Linked DNA regions of Rhinolophus ferrumequinum. The protein of the gene in region 1 interacts with the protein of each later gene in a pairwise test. Links are inferred from orthologs where the notes say so. Each region holds a gene or a part of one and is shown in the gene's direction. Other genes may lie near its edges. The genes, in order: LMNA, TOR1AIP1, SYCE1 and VAMP4.

Region 1 (7,594 bases):
AGAGACTTTGCCTCTGTCATTTAGTATGTTGGGTTTTACGGGTGAGATGAGGGGTTCTCTGGCTTTACAAATGGCTCTTGATCACCCGCTCCTTCTAAGAGCCTTCTCCACTGAGCTAAACTGAGCTAATCGCTCTGAACCTGCATCATTCCTCCTTGCTGAGTCTGGGTGGGAAGAAGGCAGTCTACTCTGCTGTGCAACCTCAGGCCAATCACTCAACCTCTCGGAGCTTTGGGTTCTTGGCATATAAAATGCAGATAATCCTACCTACCTCATAAGTAAGGCTGAGGTGAAAATGAAATAGGATGCCCTCCAGGCAGCCCCTAGCCCGGTGCCTGGTACATGGCAGCCACCTAAAGGACAGGCAAGTCCTTCCACTTTCAAGGTTATGACCATCACCTGTGCATGAGGCATGAGTGACTCAGCACTTTAACAGTTGTTTCGTCCTGACCCTGTGATCAAAGGATGAACAAGACAGGGACCCTCCCTCAAGAACTAAGTCACAGTAAAGGCATTCCCAAACCATGGCCTTGACTCTCCAAATCACCCCATTCCCTAGACCCGCCTCCAAAAGTCACCCCTTACCAGCCCTATGGGGGAGTAGAACTGGCTCCCCAATGGCCTAGGACCCGTTTGAGGTCTCCCTCCCACCCCACCTGTCCAGGATTACAGCCTGAGGGTACCATCTTGGCATTCAGTCAGGACAGCCTGTGTTAAAATTCCAGTTCTGCTCTCAACCATGGGACCTTAGACAAGTGGTTCTCAACTGGGGGAGATTTGGCCTCCCAGGGGACACTTGGCAATGTCTGAAGACATATTCAATTGTCCTGAGGGGCAGAGGTGCTACTGGCATCTAGTGAGTAGAGACCAGGGATGCTGCAAAACATCCCCCTGTGCACAGACACTCCCCACACCAAAGAATTATCTGGTATCAATAGAGCCAGAGTAGAGAGACCCTGCCTTAAAAGAACGCCTTTCCTCGTGGGTCATATGGGGCTAATTGCGGGTATGTACCTTGTAGAGCTATTGTGTAGGATCCACAAGGGAACGCGGATCCCTACTGTCCGATAACAGGGCTAACAGGTCCTCATACCTACTCCCTGCATGAGTCAGTCTGCCTCTGGAATCCCTCCTGGTCTCATCCTTCTGCTAAGCCCACTCCGTTTGCCTTGCCTCTTGCCAGGCCGGCGCCTCTGCGTCCTTGCTTGTTGGTCTCCATGCCCCTCTTCTCTCCTTCCTGACCCCAGCCTTCTCAAGCAGCCAGAATCTTACCCCTCAGACCCCATCGCATGCAGCCCCAGCTCCTGTCTCCTCTCCATGTCTCCCGGCCTGCCCTTCTTCGCACACTTCCCCGCCTCACCTCTGCCCAGCCTCTGCCCAGCCTGTGTCCAGACTTCCTCTGGGCCCCAGTCCACCCCAGCACCTCCCACGCCTCCCGCCAAAGTGGCATGAGATAGTGAAGCACATCTTGGATTTGGACCAGGCTGCCTGGTCCAAGTCTGAGCTTGGCCTATTACTTACTGTCTAGTCTTGGGAAAGTCAGCCTCACCTGTAAAACGGGGACGCTCCGACCCATGAGGTAGTTTTGTGGACCAACCTGAGAATGTAGGTGAAAGCATATAGGTCCCGCTTTATATTTTTATTGTCATAGTGCTTACCACCTTCTGACTAACTGTAATGTTGTGTATTTATTGCCTATATCCCTCCACTATAATGTCACCTCCAAGAGGACAGGGATTTTTGTCTGTTTTATTCACTATTGTACCCTAGTGTCTAGAGCAGTGGATGGCACATAGTAGGTGTTCAATAAATATTTGTTGGATGAGTGAATTCTCTATCTCTATATAAGGCACTTCTATAAAGTCCCTCACTCTACTTCTTCTAAGGACCTTCCCTTCAAATGCTTGTAACTTAATCAATGCAGTATCCCCATTTTATAGATAAGGAAACTGAGGCTGAAAGAAATGCAGTAACTTGCCCAGAGTCACTCTCCTGAAAATGGCAGGGCCAGATGCATTTGTTCATTTCAAAACACTGAGCGCCTCCTGTGCGCCAGGCATTGGGCCCGTTGTTGGGGACACAGATAACCAAGACTTGGCCCCTTCTGTCCCCACAGCACTTTTGGGAGGAAGGGTCCTCGAGGGAGGCCCAGGATGCTGTGGAAACATTGGAGGGCCCCCCTCCCAGGTCACTGGTCTTCAAGACAAGAGCTCCTTCACTGCCCAAACCATCCCTTGGACTCAACCACTGTGTTCTGATTATGCTCCAGCTCCCAGGCTTCTGGAACCCATTTGGAATTCATTTGCCAGGTCAGGGTCCTATACTGCCCTTTAGCCACTGTGGTTGGTCTTGCCTCTTCCTATGTTTTTCCCACCAGTGAGCAACTGCCTTGAGACCAAGCAGAGTAGCTCAGTCCCCATGTCTTGGTAGCCACTCTGGCCAGATGAGGAAACTGAAGCCCAGAGAAGTAGTAGCAGATGTATTATCTGTCACATAGTAGGGGAGCGGCAGGACTGGGACCTGGGGTCCACCCAGTCCCAACTTGCCACGCACCCCTCAGCAGGCTCCGTCTTCTCAACTGGCCTCTTCCACTTTCTCCGGCTTCTCTGGGACTGGGGACCTGTACTGGGGATCCAGAGTTAGGACTGAGTATTCAGGAGAAAGCCCAGCTTTGAAGCTCAGATTTAGGATTGAGGTCATTTTGGTGGTGGTGAGGCCCTGGAAACTGGGACTCTGGAAAGGGCCTAGAGTGAAATTTGGGGTGGGGTTCCTCCCACCTCTCTTCTGCCTCTTTTCCCCAAAGATGAGGAGGTCCGGGATAGGAAGAGTTAAGTGTGGTTTTGCTTCCCCAGCCAGGAGGGGAAGCCAGACCGGGCGGGGGACTGGGTGGGGCAGAGTGGGGGCTCTGAGTGTGGGGGGGGGCTGAGGCAGTGGGACTGCGGGAGCCCTGCCCCTCACATTTCACTGACTCTCCCACCCCCTCCTCTGCTCCCAGTTTGGGAAACAGAAGAGGGAGAAGCAGAACAAGACTGTTTCGTCTGGGGAGCCCAGGGTGGGTGCCACGCCCTAGGAGAGAGGTAGCCGAGTCCTGGGTCCCTCACATGTGTGCATCCTGGATGCTCTGCACTGCCCAGTACCCTCCTAGAGCTGGGAACCTGAGCATCCCCGCCCTTCCTGGTGCTCCTCCCTAAACACTCAGAGCTCTTGCTGTAATCCTACTGCAGCCCCTCTCGTCCATCTGAGGCCAGCTCCAGAACCCACAACAGAGGGCCTGACCAACTCTGCTTCCTTTGCGTATTACAGAAATCCTGGTGTCCTGGAGCTGTAGGAGCTAGCAACATAATTTAACTTTCCTGTTTCCTCCTCAGAATAAGTTGTGGGATGCCAGGGGCAGGGCACCCATGGCTTCCAGCGCCTCAGCTCTGCCACCTCTTAGAAAAGATAATGTGGTTGGTGGGGCCAGAGCCAGGATTAGGGGATGAGAGTGGAAGACTGACCAAAGGGGTCCTTGGTGAGGCCCAAGGATGGAGGCTGTGGAGCCTGGGGTGGGAGCCTGGGGACCTGGGTGATCCTGTTTTGTGCGAGGGCCTGGCCCCTCCCCAGAGCCAGCTGTAAAGTAGACCTGGCTGCGCAGGAATGTAGATAAGTGCAGTGCTGGCCTTTGCATCCAGCAAGGTTGTGGGAGCTTTGTTGTCTCTGTTCCCCACTACCCCCTTTCTGGATGAAACCAGGATGGAGACTCACCACTGGCCATCCAGCCCCCTGCTCTGCTCCCACTTTCAGGCCCCTTCAGGAACCACAAAAATCTAGGACCTGATGTCCTGGCAACGTGATGAGTGCACACACAGCTCTGGTATCTGTTTTAAATTATCCATTAAAATAAGTACAGTCCTGGAAAAAGAAAAAAAATCAGTACAGCCCTGGATTTGGCAGGGTGGGGTAAGCGGTAGGAGGGATGAAGGGGGAGGGACCTACACAGCCTCTTTTCCCAATTGCTTGGGTCCAAAGGAAGGTGGTCAGGGGATGGACCTCAGAATCTGGAACTTTGCTGTGTGCCCCCAGGGATTCCTTCCCCACCCCACCCTGGCATTCTGAGATGGCAACTTTGAATGGGCTGCCCACGTGTGTGTGGGGGGGGTAGGGGTGACTCACTATTACTATGGGGAGGAAAGGGGGAGCTGGTGGTGGAAGAGTGAGTCACCCTGATGGGCACCAGCCTCAGCCCTCCCCCCTCCCCTTTCCTGGATCTGTCTGCCTAGCGCCCTCCCTTGCTTTACATCCACTTTCCCTCTCCCTCCACTCCCACCTTTCGCCCACCCAATCTCACCCCTTGGCTCTGCCCTTTACCCGCAAGGCCTGAGGCAGTGGGGGCAGGCTTGCAGCCGGGAGCGCTGAGCAAGCGGGAACCAAAACGCGAGCTTCAGCGAAGCCCGGGGCAGACTGAGGTGCGAGGGAGAGGGTGGGGCTCCACTCCGCCCGAGCTGGGCTGTCCTCTGCTCTGCTCGCCACTCCCGCCCCCACCCCACGGGTATGCGGCGGCTCCTTTAAGAGCAGTGGCCCCTCCTCCCATTCCCAGGACCTATTAGAGCCTTTGCCCAGTCGCCGGTGACTCAGTGTTCGCGGGAGCGCCGCAGCCACTGCAGCCAACCCGGATCCCACGTCCGACAGCGCCGGGCCCAGATCCCCACGCCTGCCAGGAGCAAGCTGAGAGCCTGCCGGCCGGCGCGCTCCGACCCCGGCCCCGGCCCCGACCCGCCTCTGTCCTTCGTCCCGAGCCCCGCGCCCTTCCCGGGATCCCTGCCCCGCGGGCAGCACTGCCACCCTGCCGGCCATGGAGACTCCGTCCCAGCGGCGCGCCACCCGCAGCGGGGCGCAGGCCAGCTCCACCCCGCTGTCGCCTACCCGCATCACCCGGCTGCAGGAGAAGGAGGACCTGCAGGAGCTCAACGACCGCTTGGCGATCTACATCGACCGTGTGCGCTCGCTGGAGACGGAGAATGCAGGTCTGCGCCTTCGCATCACCGAGTCGGAGGAGGTGGTCAGCCGCGAGGTGTCCGGCATCAAGGCCGCGTACGAGGCCGAGCTCGGTGATGCCCGCAAGACCCTCGACTCGGTGGCCAAGGAGCGCGCGCGCCTGCAGCTGGAGCTGAGCAAAGTGCGCGAGGAGTTTAAGGAGCTTAAAGCGCGGTGAGTGGGCCCAGGTGGCGGCACGCCCAGGTGGCGGCGGAGGGGCAGACTGGTCACCCCTGCCCGGCCCCAGGCGGCTGATAACTTTGCCATATAGTCTCCTCCCTCCCCGGAACTGCCCCTAGCGGGTGACTGGCAGTGCCAAGGGAAATCGGCAGGACAGGACAGAGAAGGGAGGGGTCTCTGGGAGATGGGTATCCAAGGGTGAGGGCATCAGGGCCAAGGAGGGATTGGTGGTAGGCCCGTTCAGTCAGGAAGGTTTGCCAGCCATTTGGAGCGGCGGGAGGGGCTTGAGCAAAGCAGAACTGACCCCACCAAGTCTAAGAAGTCTGGGCACTGCAGGACACATTGGAGTGGGTGAAAGGGTCCAGTTAGAACTTTCTTGGCAGGCTTGGCACAGTGCCCATTTTGCCCAGCCTGGGTCTGAATACATGAGGTCCACTAAGACAAACTCCCAAGTTGGCATATGTCCACTGGTGCTGGAGAGAGGTCACCAAGGCAGGGTGACAACCCACCCCCCACCGCAGGGGCATGGAGGTGGCCCCCTTGGCTCGACCCTATCCGGGTTCTTTCTAAGAGCTGGGAAACTCTCCTTCACTCACTGCATCTCTGGGACCTTCTCTGGACTCTGACAGTCCCCCCAAACAGCTCCAGGAGAGTGGCTCCCAGCTCAGGCTCCCCCGCAGCTCCCACAGCCCTTGGCCTGCTTGGCCCAGGAATGCAAGGGAGGGAGGCAGAGGCTCCCACTCAGGAAGTTGTGTTGTGCCCAGGTCTGGCTGCCCGGGCGGGCAGCTTCCCCGCCCTCTGCCTGGTGTCTTGGAGGGTTTAGGACTCTGTCCCTCTCGGTCTCCCTCCCTTGGGGTGAGCCACTTTCATTTTCCCAGCCAGGCCCAGCCGCTTTTGCTCTGTCCCATCCTCTCAGTCTGACTTTTTTTGGTCTTGGCCTTAATAAACCGGGAATACAGTGACATTTTTGAAATCCAGCCGTTGGAAGCTTTAGGCCACTCCTCCCTCACCCATCCCGGCCTGGCCCCACCCTACCCCACCCTACTTGACTCCACCCTCTTCTAAAAAGAACTTTGGAGCCTGGAAGTTTAGCCCCTCTTCAGCCCCCCAAGAATTTGGTTTCCTCCTGTCTACTGCCCTTTTCACCATGAAGACCTAAACCAAAGAGAACTAATGCTGCTTGCAGATCTGTGGTTGTGGGGGCCCTGTGGTTTGACTTCCCCTTATCTTCTCCAAACTTTTGCTCTTAGCTCTCTGGACATGCCTTCACCAGTCCCCAGTCCAGGGGTCGTAGGTGTGGCAGATTCATCTCTTGTAAAGAGTAGTGAGTTGCAAGTCGTGTGGGGAGATGGGCTTTTATTCCTGTTGAAAGGGGTCGCTCCTGTCTTTTTCACTAGTGATGTGGACGATTTAGTTAGCAGGACAGACAGGAGGTAAGCTTGGGGAGTCCCAGAGAATGTCAGTGTCGGAAACCTGTCCACTCAACCACCTTCGCAGATCCCAGCGAAGGGCTTTCCTGGCTGATGGGGGAACGGCACGAGTGGAGGCTTGGTCCCATGCTAAGCCAGCCACAGCAGTCTGTCTCCCCTGCCTTCTGGTGCAGCTGTCCAGGCCTGGGACACCAGGCGGGGGTGTGCACACGTGGGGTAGGGGCGGGGGTGGCGTGTGTACATGTTATATTTAGCCACCTGCCTCTCTTCTCCCCCACTGATCCTGGCTGGGGAGGCTGGGCTTCCGGCAAAGGGGGGTGGATTTGCACACCTGGATCCTAGGCGGATGGGCGGCGGCAGGGTGGAGACAAAGAAGGCTCAGACTGGGGTGACAGTCACCTTCTATGTTCCCAGTGGGAGGAGCTAGGATTTGTTGCTCCCTTTCGCATCTGCTGTGCCCAGGGTGAGGTGGAGAAGAGTAGAATGAAGAATTTGGAAGAGGAGGAGAGGCCCGTCTTGTCCCAATTTCTCCCACTAAAACCTGGAGAGAAGGTGTTTAATTAGAGCTCCAAGTTCAGGTCAAGGTTTGTGTTGGGATACAGAGCTGTCTGTAAGCTCCTGTGGTCCGGCCTGGGTACCTCGACCACACCCAGGGGTTTGGGATGCCCTCTTATTGAGCTGGATTGTGGGCTCCAAGCAGAAACACTCCCCCCATAAACACACATACGCACATTCTTTCTATCCTGGAGCCTAAGTGTAGGGAGAACAGGGAAGGCCTGCCTGGGGTCCAGGCTTGGAGCAGGGCCCCACCCCAGGCAAGACAGCTGGGTGGGTGACTCAGCCTGCCCCCCTCCCTCCCGCCCTGGTGGCTTTACAAGAGACAGTGGGAGAAAGCAGATGTCTCAGAGGGAGGGATGGGGGCCTGAATGTCTGCATCTCCGCCCCTCCCCCTGCTCCCCGCTACCCACAGT
Region 2 (7,339 bases), about 12 Mb from region 1:
AACACCACCCACCCTACCCTGTTGAAGGGCCAACTGTAAATCTGAAATTCCTGTTCCTGACCTACACCAATTCAAGACAACATAGAAGAAGCCTACACACATAAATCTCACTTGCCCTTTCCTCATTTTTTTCTCCAAAACACTCTCACACCCTATTTTACTTATTTTGATTTTTATCTGACTCCTATAGAATATAAATTCCAAGAAGGCATGGAGCGTTGTCTTTTGGTCTGTTCTTTCATTGCTGTATCCCCAGCACCTAAAACAGGGTCTGGCTAGTGCATAGCAGAGGCTCAAATATTTATTGGATTAATGATTCTTCATTTAACAGTGGTTTTTGATACATTCCCCTCTCAATCTTCCTCTTTTGGTAGAAGTCAAAAGACTTATGAACATTCTTAGATACTGTTTAGTAACTGACTGCAATTTCTAACTCAACAAAGAATAAGTGGAAGAATATTATACTGGGTTTAAATTTTCTTAATTTCAGTATAACACTTCCAGCTAGCCAGTTTCATTTATATCAACAGTCTTCAAAATATTTTGTCTATCACTCGTGAGAATGGGGAATAAATGGAACCAGCTACTATGTCTTTCATTCCCTTCCTCCTAATATTTTAATCATTATTTCCTTATTAAAAATAACATGTTGACTTCTTCCTATATTTATGTATTTTATCTGAAAAGTTTAAGTGTACTGAGAAAAGTCAGTACACTTTTTATGTCAAATTGCTGGAATTTATAAGTATGCTATTCTATTTGGAAAAGAGACATTTTTATTTTAAAATGTGAACTTCTTCCAGTCACTAATTTACAGTTACAAATAAATATAACATTCCATTTCTATATGATTTTACAGCATATAAAGAATTTTTACAAAACTTTTCATTTCTAGTTTAGACTAAAAATGTATTTAACAGAAGAAAGGAGTCTGGACATCACTTGATTAATTTCGTAAGTAAGTGCTTTTGCAAATATGAATACTACATCAATGTGGCCAATAAATGATAAATCTTATATTTGTTTAAAATGTACCAAGATAATTGTGAATCACTGTTTTAAAAATTAACTTATTTTGAATAATTTTAGATTTTCATAAAAGATGCAAAAATAAGTGATCTCATATACTACTGTACTCCTCACCCAGTTTCCCCTAATGTTGACATCTTACATTCCTATAGACTATTTGTCAAATAAGAAACCAACACGTTTGATATATTACTATTAACTGAACTCCAGACTTCATTCAGATTTCACCTGTTTTTCCACTAATCTCTTTTCTTTTCAGGGTTCAATCCAGGATACCACATGGCACCTAGCTAAATCACTTTTAAAAGTAGTAATTTCTTAAATTTCAAAGGAATGAAAAGAAGCACTTCCTTACCTGCTCTATGCCAAAATTTCATGTGTTTAATTCCAGCTGTAATTAATCAGGCATGTAGGGGTTCATCTTTACAACAATTTATTCCTCTGAAATAAATACCAAAATGTTTTAATTCTGAAAATAAATCTCTCCTATAATAATCTTTTGCCTAATCCATACTCTATCTTGATTACCCCATTACTGAATACGTGGGCCACTTGTCTCTCAGGTTTGTGCTATGTAATCATGCATTGGTATATTTATTATTTTGTCATTTTTTACTAATCTCTTCTCAACAGATTCTTAAAAGATAGGAACAGCTGAGAATTGTACTATGCCTAAGGAGTGCTATTTCTGGCATGAATGAGTTAAAGAAAAATTTTCATAATACTTCATTCTAGTTTAATATAGCCTTTCCAAATACAAAGTTCCTCTTAAACCTTTTATTTGGGCACTGTCTTTATACTGTGAAAAAAGCATTTATCTGTATTTTTAAAGTGCTTTAATATCTCACTTTAAGGAACAGGAAGTTAAATAGTTTAAGACACTTGACTATTTCCTCCTTCAAAGAAATTAGTATTTTTATTATAAATACATGCTCATTGTAGAAAATTCAGAAAATGAAAAGTGTAACAGAAAAATTTAAAAATATATAGCTTCAAAAAAATAACATTGTTGCTTTCTACTAGGATATAACCCCAAAGTGACTTGCTTATCTGAGCACACAAATATGACTACCATGTACAATGGATTGATAAATGACTCCTCAGTGTATATAACTGGATTTCTGCTTACCCTAAAAAACTCATATACAAAAATGATTTTAAAATGTTTCATTTAAAATAGCTGCTTTATTTTGAAATCTAGTGTCAAGAACACTAGATTTTTGAGACCTAGAACAGCTAGGTATATTGCCAGTCATTTAATCTGAATTATAATTGTTTGTATATGTCTCCCTAATACATGGCAAATTCCCAAGGGATAAAGAATACATTCATTTAAAAAAAATTTTTTAATAATTAAAAAAACTCATTAATTTAATCCATATATTTATTAAACACCTATTCTGTGCCAACATAGATGTTTAATAAATATGTGAATTAATGAGTGTTATAATTCTTTGTTATAATCCTTTCTTCTCTTACCCGTCTTCTCCTTTGATTCACTGAATTACTCTATATATCTCACATTCCCAGAGTAATTGTCTAACACCCAGAGCTCATGCCTCCACTTGGTATTGGTGGCCCAGCAATTCCCTTATAATAGTGGCTGTGAGTCTACTGTCTCTGCAGCGTCACCTCTTTTGGACATCCCTACAGTTTGGAAAACATTTACAGCAGAATATCTAGTTTGACTAGAGTTTAGCTTTGCCTCAGCTTTTTGTGATGCAAGTTGGTATTTGTAAAGTTGCTAGGTGTGGAAGGCAGGTATGACGGAGCTAGGATTATGTATTATTACACATGGATTGATGAGTCAATAATATGTAGAACCTCTTGTCCTTTCTCTTTTTTAATATGTCCCCCAAACCTAAGTTTACAAGTCTATATCCAAGTTTCTATATAGTCACCTGTTCTGATGTTTTAAAAAGGCTTTTAATATATGCACTAAAGTTCATAATATGAACTTTGTACTTTAATACTATAATTTTATATCTCTTAATTACATTACAGAACTTTTACTACCATATGTTAATGAGTAATATAATTAGCACCTTATAAAGCATGACTTAAAACAAATAAAACCCAGGTATTAAGCAAGTACCAGTACTTTTCAACATTTTATCAGAAAGTAAGTCCCACAAATTTTCCAAATATACTATCTAACCCAGGCTGACAAGGGAGAATATGCCTTTAGTTTTCCCTTAAAAGACTTTTTTTTTTAAAGTAGTATCTCCCTTGTCACTGTTCCTCCAGTTTCTTTGGCTATATTTTATATACCAAACAAAGCTAGACTAAACTAACAGGCTAAAACCTGATTCTCTAAAGTATGTAATTCCTTGTGTCTGTGACCAAATACTATATGGCCAAATATATTAGTGAAAACATAGTACATCTTAACATTTCATTAAATCGAAATTTGTGCCCAGTTTGAGCAAATGAGTTACTCAAAAGCATTCTAAGGTGATTTAAAATACTTGAAAGCATAAACAATTAAATACCTTCAAAATTTTCAGAATCCTTCATTTTAATTCGTATCATCACAATTTTTAAAATCTATTTACCAAAATCAATTATAAAACATCCTCCATGAAAGTGTGCAGTTGAAGATAACATTAATCTGTTTCAATAATTATTCAGACTTTTTACTAACTTAATGTCTTCCCTCAGTGTGTCTAAATTTGGTTGCCGATTATCCACATCTGTAAATACGGTATTTGGAGGTGAAACAAATAGTGCTTATTCATACTTTCTTATTCAGTAAAATAAACGCAGGAAACTGTAAATCAAATGCAGCGTATCCAGTCAGGTCCAGCATCAAAGTAAAAATAACGGACCACAGCTATAATTACAGCTGTCTTTAACCTACGAATTTGTTCATTTCCCTCTGTCCATGAACAGCACTAATAAACTTTCACAACAGTGCTACTGAAATAGAGCTTTTACACAAAAGCCAGGAATATGACGTTTGCTATGCGTGTATTTTGCAAATGGGAATCCACCCGAGTATGTCGGGAGTTGCGATTTTATACTCTCAACAGGTGACTTAAAATTTAAAACTGGGTAACTGCTTTCATAAGGAGCTTGAGACCAAAATTTTCTCTAAGAAAAGATGACACAAATGTATCTTTATCAGTCATCACTCCTGCTAGAGACATTTCCAGGCACGGCTAAGGTAGCAGGGGATCAAAAAGGTTCCAGAAAAACTGCGCAACAGCCTGGGGCTGGGGACTGAAACTTCTCCACCCCCGTCTCCCTCCGCCTTTCCAGAGACTCGGTATTGGGAGCCAGCTCCGGCGTCACCTGCGTGCGGGCAACAGTTGCCACGAGCAGCTGGGTTTAGGGCACGCAATTTGCCAAGCCAGTTGTCCCTTCTCTGTCGTCCCCTCCCTCTCCCCCAAGGCCGAGGACAGCGACGCCCTCCTCCCTCTTCTCCTCCTCTTTGGTGCCTTCAGCCAAGAGGCGGGAGTGACCCCACGAGCAGCTGACCCAGCACAGGCACTGCCTCTCCCACAGCCCTCGGACACACCATGGGCCCAGAGGCGGGATTGCAACACAGCAGCGACGACGCAGGCGGCAGCCCCGGCGACTCTCAACTGCCTCCCTGACCATTGCGACCACCGCCCATCACCCGGATAAGCCGTCGTCACCAACGGCAGGAGATTCTAGAGTCGTCAAAGCCATCTTCGCTATCGACTCAAGCTACGTCAACAACTATGGCGGGCGAGGGGCGGCGGGTGGAACGGGTGATGGTAGGATGGGGGATATACGTCACACCCAGGGCCCCCATCCGGGAGGGAAGGCGACGGCTCGCCCCTCAAAATGGCGGTAGCAGCGACGCGCCTGCGTACGGAACTCCTTCGCCGTCGCGCCACGGCCGGCGGGAAGTGAGGTTCTCCGAGGAGCCGCCAGAAGTGTACGGCGACTTCGAGCCTCGGGTGGCCAAAGAAAAGTCCCCGGTGAGAACCCGAATCCGACTAGAAGAGTTCCGGCCTGATTCTGCGAAAAAGGAAGTGAGAGAAAGCGCCTACTACCTTCGGTCTCGGCAGCGGAGGCAGCCGCGACTCCAAGAAGCCCGGGAGATGAAGACGCGAAGTGCCGCTCGCCCCCAGCAGCAGCACTCACCGCAGTCTCCGCTACAGCCGTCACCGGTTTCCACCCGGAGAGGATTACGGGACTCTCATTCCTCTGAAGGTGAGGCCAACGGAGGTAACAGCTCCAGCCGCAAGCTCAGGAGCGAGCGAGCGCGGCGAGCGGGCGGGCGGGCGCGGCGTGTGTACACGCCTCGGAGGCTGGTGGGCGTCCCCGCGGAGTTCGTCCCGGCCGGGGCTGGGGTGGCTCCCTCCCGCTGGAGGGAAAGCAGCACAGGTGGGAGGAGTGGAAAGGCAGTCAGTCGTGCGGAGCAGTGAGCAGAGTCGGGGATCTCTGCTCATCCCTGGGCATCAGTTTAGGAGTGTCAGGAGTGCCTTTCTGCGGTCCTTCACAAGGGGACGGCGAGTTAGGCGGCAGGCGGGACACCGAGTGACTCCGGGGTCGGTTTCATTTCGGTTTTCTCTGTCCTGCGGCTGTATCTACCAAAGCCACTTCCATTTCCTCCTTTGACACTCAGAGGCCAAAAGTCCCCAGCTGAGAATCAACGGTTCTGAGATGACCTTCCAGTGTTTTCCCATCACTATCCACGTGGGGAGAGAGGGAAGGAAATTTTGTGAGTGGGCGTTTTGTGGGCTAGCATAGTTGGTGAATTGACTTGAGACCCCACTCAAGTACATACACCGAAAAGGGGTAAGTCAGTTATCCCGAACTTGAAGCCCCCAATGTCTGATAAACTTGAGCACTGAACGCTCTTTCTCGACTATGATGGTCTCTGCCAAAAATTTGCCACGTTGGGGGCTCTACGTGTAACCTCAGTGGTTAAGTAGTAGCCTGACAAAGCAATACTTTTTTTTTAGTTTTCATCTACATGGGCGAAAAGGGTGCTGACAAAATGAATGTATAGTTTAGGTGAGTCACAGGTGAACCAACTCCCTTAATTCATCCTCTCCCACCTTGCACCCAACCGCGATCTAACGCTGAGTCACAAGTGAAGTTTCATGTTAGCCCCAGGTAAGGCACCTATGAGGTAAAAATCAGGGGGTTTGAATCACAGTGGGATTACATAGTTAGGTACACCATTGATGGATATGAAGAAGACACGGATTTTCAGTGTAGAGCAGCGAATAGGCTGCACGTTTACCTGCTGACACATTTGAAGATGTGCTGATTTTGGAAACTTTCTGTTAAAAATATGTAAGTTACTATAGGGTGTATTCACTCAATACAGTTTAGCCACAGATGTTAGTTTTATCGCTCTCAAGATTATAAAGTTCCTGAAAACAAAAATCCTACCAAATATATTTGAAGGACTATGTTGTACTTTAGTACTTATGTTAATTTCCTTCAATATCAGGAAAACTGTTTTGCACATATTTTTATTTAAATAAGTATATGTTAAATTGTATTGACTTGCACAGAGCCTAGTGCAGTTGTGTAAGTTAATTTTTTAACACATAAAGGGTTTATGTCTATTGTAACTATAAGGATCTAAATATTTTTCACTCTTCTGCATCATTGATGACGCTCCAGCTCATCTTTTAAATTTTCTAAAGTAATATATACTTTTGTTGTAAAGCATCAGTGATGGACAGTTTATTTTTGTCTTAAGAGTATTTCTAACTAGTTAAATTTATAAGTTTTGGTAAACCTAATTTCACATTTCTAAAGAAATGAATTACTTGCATTTTTGCTTATATGTTGCTATTAATATGCATAATCTCTTACCCAGATCAAATGTTCTGTATTTTGACATTTGTCATATTTATTCTTCAGAGGATGAACCATCTTCGCAAACTGTTTTAAGCCAAACAGTCTCAATGAAAACTACCAGGAGAGCACAAGAGACTCCAGGTAAGAAAAATGATTTAGGTTTTTTCCTTATCTGCCAACTTTAGTATACACATTATAGCCTGTTTAATCAAGGGTCCCAAATCATACCTCATTCAGAGTTTCAGTGAATGTTCTTTATAGGTGTTTATTGAATTAAGCAATGTGTCAAGAAAAGACAGGTTGCATACATGAGAACCTCGTAAGTACCACGCACTTTGTATATGTTAATTCATTCACATATGCACAATAGATACACCTGTTTTTGTTGCTGTTGTTTTTTTTTTAATTTTATTGGGGGAAAGTATGTTTCTGCAGGGCCCATCAGCTCCAAGTCATTGTCCTTCAATCTAGTTGTGGAGGGCGCAGCTCAGCTCCAAGTCCAGTCGCCGTTTTCAAT
Region 3 (7,822 bases), on another chromosome or scaffold:
AAAGATGGAGAATGTGGGGTGTGGGGTGTGGGGTGCTGAGCTGCTGCCAGCCCACGGTTGCTGACTGATGTGTGGCTTATGTGTTTGGGATATCTCGGGGTATCCTTGGCTGACTGCACTGTGTTCCCAGGTCTTCCACATAAGCTCGTAGATCCCCAAGGACTGGAGTTCCCACACCAGGCCAGACCTCTGGACCTGAGGGTGGCACCAGCGTTGGACAAGATACCTTATGCCAGGGAAAAGCTGAGGGACTCTACCCCAACCCACCAGACAGGTCCAGCTACCACAGCTGTGCAGGGGGGAGGCTGTTCCAGCAAAGCTGCCCCAGGAGTCTGGTGTTCAGCTCCCCCGGCAAATGCTGCACCTGGAGTGGAGTCCCCAAGGCCCCTTCAACCTCAGTGCCCAGGCTAGAGACTGGGATCCCACCACAGCCTGCCTCCCCAGCTCTCCCTGGGGGCTGCAGTATGCCCCATGCAGGCCTCCCTGTGGTCTTTCCATACCCAGGCTTTCAGCTCTCAGACCTGGGTTCCTTTTGGTCTGGTCCTCCTGGGCTGCCTCTCTTACATGCAAAATAAATCTTTGGTTTGAACCGCACTCTCCCAGATGTGGTGACTTACAGAGGCTCTCTAAGCACACTGGGAGTTCAAAAATGGCCCTGGGGAAGGTCGGGAGCCTGGCAGGGAGGGTGACATAAGGCAGCATAAGTAAGAGCCAAGCTAGAAGGCAGTTAATTCAGGTGTGCCAAGCCCAGTGCCAGGTTTCACCTCCAGGACTCTACATTCCAGCAGGCAGCCTCCAGGGCACAGATGACTGTACCTGGGGCATAGCCCTGGGTCTGACACCTTGGCTCAGAAGAAGACTTTCGAATGAAGAGCCTTTCATGACCTTTACTCAGGTGTTATTCCCTAGATGCACACAAGATGACAGCAAAGAATACCTTTTCCAGGTGACAAACAGGTGTCATTCTTAAACCTCACACAAGATGGCAGCAGAGAAGAGCGTTTGCTTGCTCATTATGCAAATCCAGGCCCCTGGGACTGAGCTCACTAAGAAATAAATCCAGTTCCAGGCCCTTCACAGGCCTCATCTCACCCACTGCTCCCATTTTCCAGATGCAGCAGAGACGATTACTATCTCCATTTCACAGATAGTTAAAATGAAGACTGATTCTAACACACACAGTTCAGAGTCCAGAACCGAGGCTGACATGGGCCCACATGGGCCAGCTTGCACACATGGGGTTCTGGACAGAGTGATCCAAATAGTCCTTGCAGTGTTGGGTGGAATCTCGGTCATTGTATTTGAAGAAAAGCAGATAACCTCATGGTCCCGCTTGCCATGCACTCACCTAGGCTGGTTTTGGAGTGGGACCAGGGCAGGCAGCTGGGGATGGGGACAGGTGGGGAGGGAGGTGGTGGCCTGGCCTTTCAGGGGAGGACAAGCAGCACCAGATCCCTGTGACAACGACTCCCCCAAAGCTGAGCGATGACTGTGCTCGGGCCTTTTAAAATCTCTTCCTCCTCAGCCCACGGCACAGCTCTGCTTCTCCCCCATATTCCCTTCCTCTGAGGTCACATCTGACAAGAGATTCCTGGCTGCTCAGAATGGAGTCTGGGAAAACAGTGCAGAGTCAGCCAAGGACACCCCAAGAGATCCCAAATCCATAGGCCATACACACAGTCATCAACTGTGGGCTGGCAGCAGCTCAGCACCCCACACCTTACATTATCCATCTATTTCTGTCTCTGACCTTCTCCTTCAATCTCTGTCAACATCCGTCTTTGTCTGATTTGATTCAAGATATTCATGAAACATCTGCTCTTGTCACTACCCTACAGTGACTCTTACAAGCCCCCAACGGACCTTACCTCATCCCTAGCTCAGGAAGCCTTAGCTACCCATGTTTCCTATCTTCCTACCTCTCCTGCATGTGGGGTCTCGGACTCTCCTGTGTGCAGGGTTCCCGTGTGTATGTATTAAATCTGCTTATATTCTCTTGCTAATCTGTCTCATGTCTATTTGATTATCAGATCAGCCAGAAGAAGCTTGAGGGTAGAGGAAAGTCTCTTCCTCCCCCACCTAAACAAGTAATCAGATATCTAATAAAAGGTGAAATTTGGGAGTATATCTACATCACTGCATCATGCAATAAGATTCAACAATTTAAATTACCTTATTCTCAGGACTGAGTGATTAGATCAATGAAATATGGGACAATCTACCAATTTAACTTCTGGATGTGAAACTTTTATTACAGTTTCAAAGGCGGGAAGAAGAGGACCAAAAGTTTTGCCTTTGGACACATTGACTTTAAGCTGATTGTTAAGAAACAAGACTAATAAAGAACCTTTGACCCTCCGCCTTTCCTGCCTAAGAGATTCAGATGGAGACCTGGTTTAGGAGGAGAACCTAGGCATAAACTCCTTAGCACAAGGCGGGAAGACACCCAGTGGAGACTGCTAAGGACCACAGATGCCTCCCTGGCAGGTCAGAGGAGAGGCCTAGGGCTGTCCTGAGACCTGACTATCTCCTGCTGCCCATTCGGATGGGACGAAGGATCCAGCCAGTCCTAGGAGGGCCCCACCAGCCCTTAGAAAGGCTGCACCTGGAGGCTGGCAGGTCGCTGTACCCAGTCCTGTGTAAATCCACACGTGTCTACTGAGTGCCCTCGTGTGTCATCACTGAGCTAGAATCTGGGGCTGCCCGGACATAGTGGAGACCCCACCAACCCTTCTGCAGTGGGAAGGAGGGTGGGGAACCTGCTAGACTGAGGTTGAGTTGGATTTGAAACAGTGACCAGAGTCACATTTCATTCTTCTATTAGCAGAACCCAGGACCGGGGAGCAGACAACTAATGGTCCATTCAACTAGACTCATGTGTGACATTGGGTACGTCCTGCCCTTCCTGGAAACCTCAGAGAGATGAAATGTGGAGGGGGAAGTGGGCCGGTGAGGCTTAAACCAAACCCTAACCCCGGCCCCATAACTTTAAACCTCTACCCCTAAATCCAAACAACCCTAACTCTGGGCCCTAGATGCTTGATACTGACCCTTAAACTCTAAACCCTGACCCTGACTGTGGCCCTAGCATTGACACTGATTCTTCACCCTCACTTTCACGATATCCCTAGCACACTAACCCTAACTCTACCACTATCCCTTACTGCAGTCTGTATCACAGGACTGGTTCTGGATTTGAGGGTCTTTGAAACTTCGGTGTGCTTATTTCCTGCTTAGGTCAGTTCATTTCCAGAAGAGCCACCATAGTCGGCAAGAGATGGTCTACTCTGCTGTGGTTTGGTCAGTAAGCCTGGCTTGGACTGCTAGGTCTTATGTGAGTGGCTGTGACATCAGGATGGTGAAAGCAAGCCAAGGATGTTTCAGCCACTAATCCTGTCTCCGAATCCTAACGATGAAAGGAGACTCTGAATCTGGCCTCTGACACCACTTCGCACTGACCCTTCCCCTGGCCCCAACTCAGACCCTTACTTTGACCCTTAATCCTAACACTGACTTTTTTCATAACATTATCTATATCATGGGAGGCATTGATTTGTAGAAGGCATATTAGCCTTGAGGTGACAATTCAAGCTTTGACTATTTGCAAGGGAGTCTTGGTAGAGGTGACGTTTGTAAAGGCTTGCGGTGAGTTTAAGCCTGTTTGTTTTGAGGAAGGCTGCTGGCTAGAGCAGAGTGAGTGAGGGGAAGCCCAGGCAGGTTGGCCATTGTCGGGCTGGAAAGAGGATCAAATGAAATAATCTTCCACCATGACCAGAATACGAACTGTCGCACAGGAAGCACCCATTAAATACATGTTCATTCTTGTTTATTATAAGTACTGCCAGTGTCCAGCAACAGAAAACTGAAGACTTGGCTCGTAGAGCAGGGCTCTGCACACGCAGTGCTCAAAACTGCTCCTTGTGGTTGGAATGTCTCAGAACTGGCTTTGTGTGCAGTGAACGGGCTGGACACTTCATCTGCACCACCTGCACCCAGATCCACCCGCCTGGGGCTGCCCCGGGCACTGTCTCCTCAGAAACCGGGATTCCTGGAGGCAGTGAGCCCGGCGACGGGGTAGGTGAGCAGAAGCCCATTTGAGCCTCGCGTCCACCTCGGGGCTCCACCTGCACAGCCCCGGGTGACCACCGTGCTGCATGGGCGGGGAAGGATCCTTCATCCACTACCAGCGGGGCATGCCTGCACCCCCTGCCCTCCCTGCAGAACCCCCCCCTCAGGCCACGCCTCCAGTGGGGACGTGTCCACGGGGAGACAGGGCCAGACTCGGGATCAAGCTCGGAGGGACGAGGGTCCCCGTCTACTCTTGCACTCTCCTCTGCATCCAACCAAGAAGATCCACCAAGATTAGTCAGGTGGGCTGACAACACACTTGGTCTTGCTCCAGAATGCCAGCCCGGAGTCGTCGCTGGCACGGGAAATAACTGATGTGTGCAGTGAGTAATAGAGGCAGAGATGGGAATCGAACTCGGCTCTCAAACGCACCTCAAAGTTGCACTTTTTGCAATGCCAGAGACGTCGAGTCAGGGTGGCCCTTCCAGAAGCCTGTATACTGTGCAGATCAGACTGTTCAACAGGCCGACGCAAGCCCGGAAGTAGGCACGCGGCCCTCGCTTCCTGTGCCCTGACTTTGGGTTACGGCAGCTTTAAGCATGCGCACTGGCGCTTGTCCAACCGTTACCTCCGCGCCTGCTCCGGAGGAATGCGGCGCACAGAGCACTGCACTGCGCAGGCGTGCGGGAGGACGCCCCGCCCCCGGCACGGGTTTAGTCCAATCCCAGCGGAGGAGCCCAACGCCAGTGCGTCAGCCGGTTGAGAGGAAATGGCGGCGAGGCCGGGGCCTTCGAGCTCGGAGCCCTCGGGAACCACGGACCGGGGAGAAAAGGCTGGAGGTAATCTGGGGCCCGGCGAGGGCCTGCTTCGGAACCGGAACCGGGCTGGTGTCAGGCCGGGGCGGGGCAGGGAGTGCGCGGGCGGCCTCTGTCTCCGTCAGAACGGTAGTGAGGAAAAAGGACCGTCGCCTTCTGAGGGAAAGTCGACTGTTCCCTCGAGTGGGGTCCTTACCCACATCCGCCTCCGACGTGTAACTCACGCCGTATTTGCCATGTTTGCTTCCCCTGCTTTCTGCTCAGACAGCTTAAAATTGTCACAGAACATCCTTTCGACCTGAATCTCCTCAAGCGTCTCTGAAACACGAAAGGCACGTTTTCCTGGGTCTGCCACACCTGAGGGAACGAATAAGTCCCCATTGTCCTCATCTCACACCTCTGAACTTCCCTGTTCTGACCAGTGGATTGTTTCCCCCCAAAACCAGACCGACTCCTCACACCGACCTGTTGAGGGATGGCTCCCACCTCCCCAAGCAAGGGGGGGACGTGCAGTTTATTTTAATTGTTTAAAAGTTCCCAATTACAGCCCAAAGAGGAAAAAAATTCTGTCCTAGCCATACCCACCCCTGTAAGGATTTGCTCGTGGATGTTTCAGGGGGGTTTTCTAACGCAGGCAAGTGGAGAGAATTGTACGAGGAACTCCTGTGTACCTGTCCCCGCGCTTGTTTTTGGTCCATCTGTCCGTCTTGATAAAGTGCTGCAATCAGCGGAGCCTCGGTAGTTCTCACAGTTCCGGGCTTCGTCTGCCGCCCTCGCTCTCCTCGCTGCCCTCACGTGGGGAAAGGGTGAGGGAGCTCAGTGCAGCCTCTTTGATGCGGGCACTGAGCCCATTCGTCAGGCTCCACCCTCGGCCTCGGCCCCCCACCTCCTAATCCCGTCACAGGGGTGAGGATTTCAACATGTGAATGGGGGGCTGAAAGGATTCACTCTGTAGCAACCAAGTGACACCATGGAGACAAGGACTTTCCCAGAGTGAATTGATAGGAAGATTAATAGGTAAAGGCTTTGCAGTAGCCCGTCTTGCAGAATTGTTTAGCATTTAAATTGCTTTTTCCTTTTTCAGTCACCTTCCTGGGGGATCACGGAAAACACAGCGATGCATGGACAGAGTACTCACTGGAGCCAGGATGGTGGTGGGAAAACACGGGGAGGGAATGGCCAGATCCGCATACACCCATTCACACAGGGAAACACACGTACAGTGGATTTATAACAGGAAGGAAAATAATTAAAATTCAGGCAAATCAATTTTTAAATTATCAGCTCTCTATACTGATAACAGCATGGTATGCAAAAAGGATATTTTTATGAAAGAAGCAAGATGGAAAAATTATATCTAGAGCACTGTATAGGTTGCAGAGAAAGTTCTCTGAAGGCTACTTTACTAACTGATGATTGAAGAAGGGATTTGGATTTTTTGAGGGGAAGGCATAAGTGAAGGAACATTTTTAATCTTATTGTTGGATTTTTCTAATAGGACTATAGTTACTATTTGTGGAACTTTAAAATTTAAAAGGAGGGCACATTTGTTAACTGTCATTAGAGAATCAGAGGTTAATATCTATTGTAATGTTCTGAGTTTTAATTGTTGTACTGCAGTTACTACATAGGAGAGTATCCTTGTACCTCAGAAGTTCACCTGGGGTATTATAGGGTAATGAAGCATTGTGTCTGCAACTCATTCTCAAGGGTTAGGAATATTAGCAAATGGGGAATCTGGGTGAAGGATATATAGGAGCTGTATGTCCTGTTTTTGCAACTGTTAAGTAAATTTGAAATTATTTCAAAAAGTCAAAAGTAGGGGGGCTTACACTATACAGGCTGTTTTGTGCCCTAGCTTTCTTGTTAATGAGATACAAGTTGGCTCATTTTACAGATATTTACTACTGTCCCGCTGTATGCCTTACCTTATGACAAGCACTAGATATGCAATAGGGAATCAAAACAGAGGTACAGGTCACTGGTCTGTTAATAATACTGGGGGGAAAAGTGGTTACCCCAACAAACTGTAAAAGTCATTTTTGACTCACCCAGGGAAATCTATTAACTTTTAAAGGATGCAACCTTATGCAGAAATGTACATGGTGAAAAGTAAACCTCTCCTGTCTTTCCAACCCCAGTCTCCAGAGGTAACTACTGTTGAAAATTTTTTGTGATTCTGGCAGGAAATAATCTAGACATGATATGCATATATTTGTAGACTGACAGGTATATCTTTCATCTCTTTTTGTAGCCATGTCGGATTCTGTACTACACCAGTTTACACTTTCTTTCCTTTTAAGCTATCTAGGATCTTTTTCCAGGTTAGTACATGTGTATTGACCCCCTTTTCACTGGCTACATAGTATTCTGTTACAGGGATGAATCATAAGTTCTCTACTGATGGGCATTGAGGTTGTTTGAGCATTCAGATTGTTTCACGCTTTTACAAAAATGACGGTGACATTGGTTAATAACATAACTTTCAAATATACAATTCTACAGTACATTATTTGTATATTGCATTCTGTGCTCACCACCCAAAGTCTAGTCTTCCTTCCTTCACCATATATTTGACCCCCTTTACCCTCTTTATCTTCTTCCCACCCCCTCCCCCTCCAGTCACCACCATATTGTTGTCTATGAGTTTGTTTATTTTGTTATTTTGTTTGTTGCTTTCTGTTTAATATCGCACATATAGGTGAAATCATACGGTTTTCAACTTTTCTGTATGACTTATTTTGCTTTGCCTGATACTCAAGATCCATCCATATTATCGCAAATGGCAATATTTCATTTCTTCTTATGGCTGAATCGTATTCCATTGTGTACCACATCTTATTTATCCAATCATCCATCAAAGGATACTTTGGTTGTTTCCATGTCTTGGCCACCATGAATAATGTTGCAGTGATCAAGGGGTATAGAGGTACACATAT
Region 4 (7,230 bases), about 6.8 Mb from region 1:
CTAGTACGACTTCTCCAGACACCTGTGAATGCTGCTGCCAGAGCTCTTACCTGCTGCTGGGCGGGCATCCCGGCCGGGGCCAGCTCCATGACTCTGGCCGACAGCTCGGCCTGGATGCTGTCCATGCCGTCGTACTGCTGACCTCGGTGAAGCGCCACGGTGATCAGCCTCCTGAAGCCAGCGCTCAACGCCAGCTGCTTCCGGCCGTCTTCCATGCCAAAGAGCCACTCAGTCTCCCGACCCTGGGGGACTGCAAACAGGCACTTGGTGACAGAGGGTCCCAGGGAGAGTGTTCGAGCCCACAGCCAGTACGAGCCACACGGCAGAGAGCCAGGCCCTGTCCCGCCCTTCCAACTGAGGGGCTGTCGATGCACGAGGGCCCAAGGTGCAGAGCAAAGCAGCCAGAGGGCACGAGGGGGCGGAGGAGTGGGAGCCTGTGGGCAAGGGATGGAGGCTGCACCTGGCGCAAGGAAACGAGCAGTAGCGCTCAAGCTCATCACGCGCCAGGCAGTGTTCCAAGCCGTTTACAAACGGAAACGAATCGAATCCTCCCAGGAGCCCGGGATGCACGTAGCATCGTTATTCCCACCGCATAAACGAGGAGATTGAGACACAGAAGTTACATTATTTGCCCAAGTTCACACAGCTAATAAGTGGCAACCTGGGCCTCCAAACCAGGCAGCCCCGCCCAGACTCCACGCTGAGCCTAGCGCACTATCCGTCCTGACAGGTGGGCAGTCGGGATTACGGAACCCTCGGGAAAATGGCCCAGTCATCAAATGACGAGCATGACCATATCGACACCGCCTAGTCGTCTAACATTTTCTACTTCTGAAAGCATTCCCTCATTGTCTCTCTTTTGATTATTAAGGTCAATCTGGTATGATGCACCCCTTTCGATCACGATGCTTACATTTGTAAAGCACTTGTCACATGCCAGGCACCGTCCTAAGAGCACTGACACTTCTCACAACTACCCAAGGTAGTTACGCTCTCGCTTTATAGATGACGAAACTGAAGCACAAAAAGAAAAGTAACGTGTCCAACGTCACACCACCAGGAAGTGACTGGGACAGGACTGGAACCCAAACGGTCTGGTTCCAGCGCTCGCATTTGTAGTCATTACTCTGTACTGTCTCCCCACACTCAGCAGAGAAGCACAGCCACTTCCCCGGGTCTGGCAGCTGCATCCACTGCTTCCATTACTCCTCCACGTTACAAAGTAACTAACATCTCTACAATGTGTGACGTCCCTCATTTGATCTGTTACTTCTCTCTTCTCCCTACCGCCCCCTTTCTCCCACTTCATCAAGCCTTTGCAATGGAAGATGAGAACAAATAAGCTCCAAATCGAAGCAGGTAGCTGGAGAGCTGCTCCTGTCCCTTCCTCGCGCCTTGGCTAGTCTAACCAAAGTACCGCCCCCTGCAAGATAAAACCAGCCAAGGCATACCCATCCACCAAAGCCCCACCCCAGCCCCTCCAGAGAAGAGAGGGACCAATGCCAACTCACTGATGAAAATGGCAAAATGATTGTCCCGCGATGGTTTCACATTGGGGCTGTCCACCACGTGGAGGGTGTAGCGTGGCTCCCCCGTGTCCCCACTGCACAAGTCCAGGGACAGACTCCCCAGCCCAGCCTTGCGGGACAGCTGGCTGCACAGCCAGGCATACTGCTGCCGCTCCCGCACCGCCTCAGCCAGCCGCTCGGCACTCTCCAGCCGCACAGGCTTGCCCTGTTCCTGAGCGCACAGCTCAAAGATCTGAAGGGCAGAGCCAGGGATTGGCCTGAACTTGGTCATGATGAAGGCAAAGACAGGCAGGGGGAACCGAAGCTCTGCTTCCAACACCTGGTCCTGGCTGTTGGCCACCTGGTGCACCCTCACCATCCACCCCTCCCGAGAGAAGTGACCCACTGCTTTCTTCAGGACGTGAGCCTGAGCCAGGGAGATGCAGAGGTAGCGACCGCCCACCTGCAGGACACGGCCAACCTCAGCCAGCATCCTGTCCACCTGCTGCAGGGTCTTCTCCTCCTCGTCTGTCAGGACAGCATCCAGGGTGCCCTTGTCCAGCACCACCTGGAACGAGGCATCGGGAAACTCCATCTGGGTCATGTCCATCTTCAAGAAGCTCATCTGGGGCCGGCGGCTGGCATTGCGTTCCTTCATCTGCTTGATGACGACCTCACTGATGTCGATGTTGACTATATCCTGATAGCCCACGTCATACAGCTGCTCACTTAGCTCTGAGTTACCGCACCCAATCACCAGCACCTGGGGGGAAACCAACACGATGGCAGTGACCGTGACAAAGGAATGAGCTCCCCGTGCTTCGAGGAATCTAGTCTCGCTTTGGCTGTTGCATGTTTTCAAAAGGGGAAGATGCTACTATCACAGGACACAGCGCCATTACAGAGTTGAGTCTAGGACCCACTGTGGAACACCACTGGTTAGAGGACTCACTCGTGAAAACGACACTCAGCAACAACGTAAGTTATGTGAAACTAGCTTTCTATATTGCAGAAACAAATCACGGTTGTTCTTTTTCTCTGAACCAAACCTAATTAACTCAAGAAAACTGATGGGAAGTCAGAATCCAAATGCACTAGTTACAGTTGAAATCTGCTATTTGTTTTCCTGTTGAAAGCCTAGTTCTGGCATAATCCTGCTCCACTCATACTTTTGGCTCATCCTCCTGATATTATATTTTTCTGAAGCCAAACGTAAACACAGGTTGTTGCATCCCTCTCTGTGGTGTAATCTCCCATCAACCCTTTAAAATTCTGTCCTAATATCACAATCTCTGGAAAAGCATGGTACAATGAGAAGTGCAGACGCTTTGGAGCTAGATGGGCCTCAATTTAAATTCCTATGTGACTACTTACTACATGTGTGATCTTGGGCAAGAAACTGACTCTTAGAGCCTCAGTTTCCTCATCTGTAGAATGCAGGTACCACCACTCACCTCACAGTTTGTTATGCAAATGCAACTACTGAACGAACACACACACACACACACACACACACACACACACAGAGCACCAGGCTTGGCAGGTAAAGCTTCCTTCAGCAATGTTAGCTTTCTACTCTTCTTCCTTCCTGCCCTACCTCCACTACAACCCCCGTCAAGCCTTCTACCATCGCACTTATCACATGTCCCTTCTGGAATGTGCCCAGTATTTACATCTTACTGCTGTTACAACTTCAGGGCGGCCCAGACACAACTATGTGATAACAGAGTCACGTATCAGTAAAGCCACAGCTGCTGCCTGCCTCACAGCGATGCACAGTGACAGAAACGCACACTTTCCTTCTCTCGGAGTCGTTACCTAGGTTGGATTAACTAAAGACGTCAGTCTTCCAGTCGGGCTATTAACAGAAGGATGAGCGGGGGCTGGAGGTCTGTTATCTGAAAATCTTTAGGATATACTTAGCTGCCTTTTAGCCTGAATCCTGAAATTATGGGCCGAATTAGAGGCCCCAGGCCTGCCACTGTCTACTCTGTGCAGGATTACTTGGTAGGCAGTTCCCACTCCTCGCCACACACACAGGGCCGTCAGGCGCGCTTACCTTTTCCCGGGGCTTGATGTATTTGTGCAGCACCCCGCACAGTTCCAGGTAAGTTCCATACCACTCGAAAGCTTTCTTCCCTCGCTGCTGGAAGAACTTCTCCCAGTAGTCAACGGAGCCAAAGTCCTTGGAGCTCTTTGGTAAGAGATTCATATTCTCCCTGCGTCTTCAAGACTGTCCTACGCCCTGGGAGGCACCAACGGAGGGGCTGCCCCGCCCGCGGGCTCCAGGACACTGCAGCGGGAATTCTTCCTACGGACAAGCAGCCACATTGACTTATCCCCCACTCAAAACACAAAGGAATGACCCTTATACGCCAACCGCACGCGGGAGACACTGAACCTATCACACGCTCACCTCCTCCCCCTCACCCACCGCCCGCCTCACGTGCTGAGTCTCTCACTTTCTCAGAGCTCGGGTTCGGAACCCGCAATCATATCCGGGTGCGAGGCTTCCCGATTGGTCGGCCGCTCAGACCATCCCAGCATCTCATTGGCCACTGCCTTTCGTTCCTCACACCTCATTGGCTGCGACGCGCTCGCCTCACGCCGGCTTTCCTGCAGGCGCGGAGCGTTTACGTCAGACGGAAGGGGGTGGGCCCCAGGGGTCGGGGCGGAAATGGCCTGGAGCCTGGACCGTAGGCCCAGATCAGCGCGCAGGGAGAAGGCAGCCGTCTCAGATCTGGGCTTTCCAACGGCGGCTGAGAGCGCGCAGCCTTCCCGGGCTCTGTGTCCGCATCGTTTCTGAGCCGGCCTCTCCACCAGTTCTGATCATGAGCCACACAGGGGCGGAGCGCGGCTGCGGGCGCCCTGGAGGGCCTCCTGAGAGGAAAAACCTGTAGAAGGAAGTGAGGTAAGGAGTGAGGGGATCCGGTCCACAGCGAAAGAAAACTGCGCATCCTCGCCATTTATCGTCTGCTTCTCCCGCCACATCCCCGCCTTAGTGTAACCCCTTTATCTGTATAATTCAGGTTTGCTTTGGAGAATGGCACTGGACCGCACTTTTTCTATACCAGAATACAGGGTTCCACTATTCATGTAATAACATGAAAATTCAAGGGAAAAGAATAACAACTAGGGATGCAGAGGTGTCTCCTCTTTTTCTCCTCCCCTTAGGGCACAGGATGTAAAACTTGAGACCCATTTTGATGATCTGCCTCCTTCGGCTGTCATTCTGACGTCATCTATAAGTAGTTACTGCTGCTTATTTTACGTGTATAATGAACATGCGGTACTGTCAGATGCTCGTCTCATACCAATACCCTATGGAAGTTGCCGTGAAGGGCACTGTTTTTAAAAAGACTGAAACGCGTGTGTGCGTGGTTGGCTTTTCACAGCGCTGTAACTCGCAGGAGGCGCGCATGGCCGGGAGAGCAGCGAGGCTCAGAATTCAGCATCTGTAGTCTGGGCTGGCACAGACCTCCTCTGCACAGACAGCGGAGTAGACAGCCAGTGGTCGGACACGTTCAAGTCGACTTCAACTTTGGTTTACACGAGTAGTTCTCAGACCTGGGCCTGCATCAGAATCGCCTGGAGGGCTTCTTCAAGCGGGTTGCCGAGTCCCATCCCCGGCGTTTCTGATGCATCCAGTCCACAGTGGGGCCCAAGGATTTGCACTTCTAGCAAGTTCCCAGGTAATACCCACTATGTTGGCCCAGGGACCACACTTGGAGAACCAGTTTTAAAATATGATTGAGAGAAGTCAAAATGGATCTAGTTCCAACTCCAGAGGTTTAAAAGGTTACTCCAAAAACCCTCTAGAAGTAACAGCAAAGAAAATATTTTCAAGTACCACCTGCTGCCTTCACATTATTGCCTGTCGACCCAAGATAAGAACTGGCAGGAACCTCTGAGGTGGCTTCAGCCACCATGTCGTGCAGGGTTCCTGCTGGGTGAGAGGTGGTTTTTTCAAAACGCACTTTCCAGAGCTGAGGACACTCTGTGCTTGAAGTGCTGCCTAAGCCCAAAGAAACAAGCAGCCTCTGCCCTCTCGCCCCAAGGGTTTATACAATCCAATGAACATTGAAATTGCAGAAATACTTGAGACATAACATTAGACTCTGTCTTTTAAAATACTTATATTTGAAACATTCCTCCCAAGGTTTCACTATGAAATATAATTAATAGGTGTGTTATCATTAATATCGTTAATTTAAGCCCATTAGATATTACAGGGCTCTGTGTTTTATTAGGATTCCTGGAGTGGTGACGGGTATGATTTAAAATGCAAACTGAGTTTAGATAAAGCCATTCAATACTGTGTTTTTTTCCCTAGAAACTACAAATCCAGACCTCTGGATGTATAATTTGCAGTTACCCTTACTTAATTGAAACATAAGGTTTTTTGATAATAATATTCAATTAATAGATGGTTGCTAAGATAATTGCAAAATGAAGAATAAATCATTGAAAGCATTTCTCCCAGTCTGGGGGACAGAAGATGGGAACGAGGATGTGGTAGGCAGAATACCGTTCCCCCGAACATGCCCACGTTATACTCCACAGAACTCGTTAATAAGTTAGGCTACATGGCAAAGGGGAGGGGAGGTTGCGTAGCAGCTGACTAGTCTCGGTGATTCACGTGAGCCCAATGTCATCACAAGGGTCCTTAAAAGTGCAAGAGGGAGGCAGAAGGAGGAGAACCAGAGAAGGGGTGGCAGGAGGAGGGCTGGCCCAGCATCGCTGGCTTTGAAGATGGAGGAGGGGGCCGTGAGCCAAGGAAAGTGCCTTCCAGCCTCTAGAAACCAGGAAAGTCAAGGAAACAGATCCTCCCCTACAGTCTGCAGAAGGAATGCAGCCCTTAGATACCTTGATTTTAGTCCAGTTAGACCTTGTCAGGCTTCTGACCTCCATAAACGAAGGTAACAAATTTGTATTACTAAGTTTTGAGTAACTTGCTACAGTAGCAATAGAAAACTAATACAGAGCATAAACCCTGAGAGGGAGTGTGGTGGGGCAGACCACAGGGAGAGCAGCAGAAAACTAGAAACTAAGGTGAAGGTCAGGTTCTGAGAAGTCATCTGTTCCCAGCATTTAGATTAAACCTGTCAGGGCACAGGAAGAGAACCAGTAGAGAACCAGGGTCACAGCTGGAAAGGACTGATAGATGTTCTCAGGAAGAACTGAAGTATTTCATGATTGATTGTATACGGGGAATAAAAGACAGGGACTCAAAATGGCTTTCACATTGGCCTCTGGATGACTGGGGAATCTATCGAAAGAAACAGGGAAGGAGAAAGGCATCATTTGTAGAACTGTTGCTTGAGAGGAATTCAGAGGTCATTACACCAGTAAAAAGCCAAAGCCAGAGCGAAACGCCAGTCTCCCCACCCTGCATGCCTAGCCTAAGGGCTCCCACCCTTCTCCAATTCTGTCGGTGGTATCCAATTGGAATTAGTGGTCCAAGATATGAGGGAAGACGCTTCATAAGTGGGATAGAAAACTATTTGAAGGGAATCTCTCCTTGGTGTACAGTGAGTGGTTTATATTATGCTGGAAACTATTTCACACCGGAAGTCTTCTTTGCACATGGGTTTGTTTTCCACATTTAAGAAGAAATTAATGGTTTCCTCTGTCGTGGAATAATGGAAGGCAGACATGACATCCAAGGATAATGTCGTACCCTTTTAGGAGCTGGCATCAAACCTTTCTTGAAGGTATTGAC

The links.
Region 2: the proteins of LMNA (region 1) and TOR1AIP1 interact in a two-hybrid assay, tested with the Homo sapiens proteins (2 studies listed by BioGRID). The link is inferred for Rhinolophus ferrumequinum from reciprocal best matches to the Homo sapiens genes LMNA and TOR1AIP1.
Region 3: the proteins of LMNA (region 1) and SYCE1 interact in binary tests that used the Homo sapiens proteins (3 or more experiments, as listed by UniProt). The link is inferred for Rhinolophus ferrumequinum from reciprocal best matches to the Homo sapiens genes LMNA and SYCE1.
Region 4: the proteins of LMNA (region 1) and VAMP4 interact in a two-hybrid assay, tested with the Homo sapiens proteins (2 studies listed by BioGRID and IntAct, with this or other methods). The link is inferred for Rhinolophus ferrumequinum from reciprocal best matches to the Homo sapiens genes LMNA and VAMP4.

What each region holds. Positions count from the first base shown.
Region 1 is NC_046305.1:712,279-719,872, forward strand, and holds the start of LMNA (lamin), read left to right. Parts: upstream 1-4,576; 5' UTR 4,577-4,831; coding exon 4,832-5,187; intron 5,188-7,594.
Region 2 is NC_046305.1:12,610,293-12,617,631, forward strand, and holds the start of TOR1AIP1 (torsin-1A-interacting protein 1), read left to right. Parts: upstream 1-4,327; 5' UTR 4,328-4,736; coding exon 4,737-5,214; intron 5,215-6,885; coding exon 6,886-6,963; intron 6,964-7,339. UniProt on the Homo sapiens protein: Required for nuclear membrane integrity. Induces TOR1A and TOR1B ATPase activity and is required for their location on the nuclear membrane. Binds to A- and B-type lamins. Possible role in membrane attachment and assembly of the nuclear lamina.
Region 3 is NC_046299.1:31,902-39,723, forward strand, and holds the start of SYCE1 (synaptonemal complex central element protein 1), read left to right. Parts: upstream 1-4,818; 5' UTR 4,819-4,837; coding exon 4,838-4,907; intron 4,908-7,822. UniProt on the Homo sapiens protein: Major component of the transverse central element of synaptonemal complexes (SCS), formed between homologous chromosomes during meiotic prophase. Requires SYCP1 in order to be incorporated into the central element.
Region 4 is NC_046305.1:7,488,856-7,496,085, reverse strand, and holds the start of VAMP4 (vesicle-associated membrane protein 4), read left to right. Parts: upstream 1-4,221; 5' UTR 4,222-4,419; intron 4,420-7,230. Other genes in the region: METTL13 (eEF1A lysine and N-terminal methyltransferase), read right to left, coding at 51-250, 1,512-2,271, 3,568-3,720. UniProt on the Homo sapiens protein: Involved in the pathway that functions to remove an inhibitor (probably synaptotagmin-4) of calcium-triggered exocytosis during the maturation of secretory granules.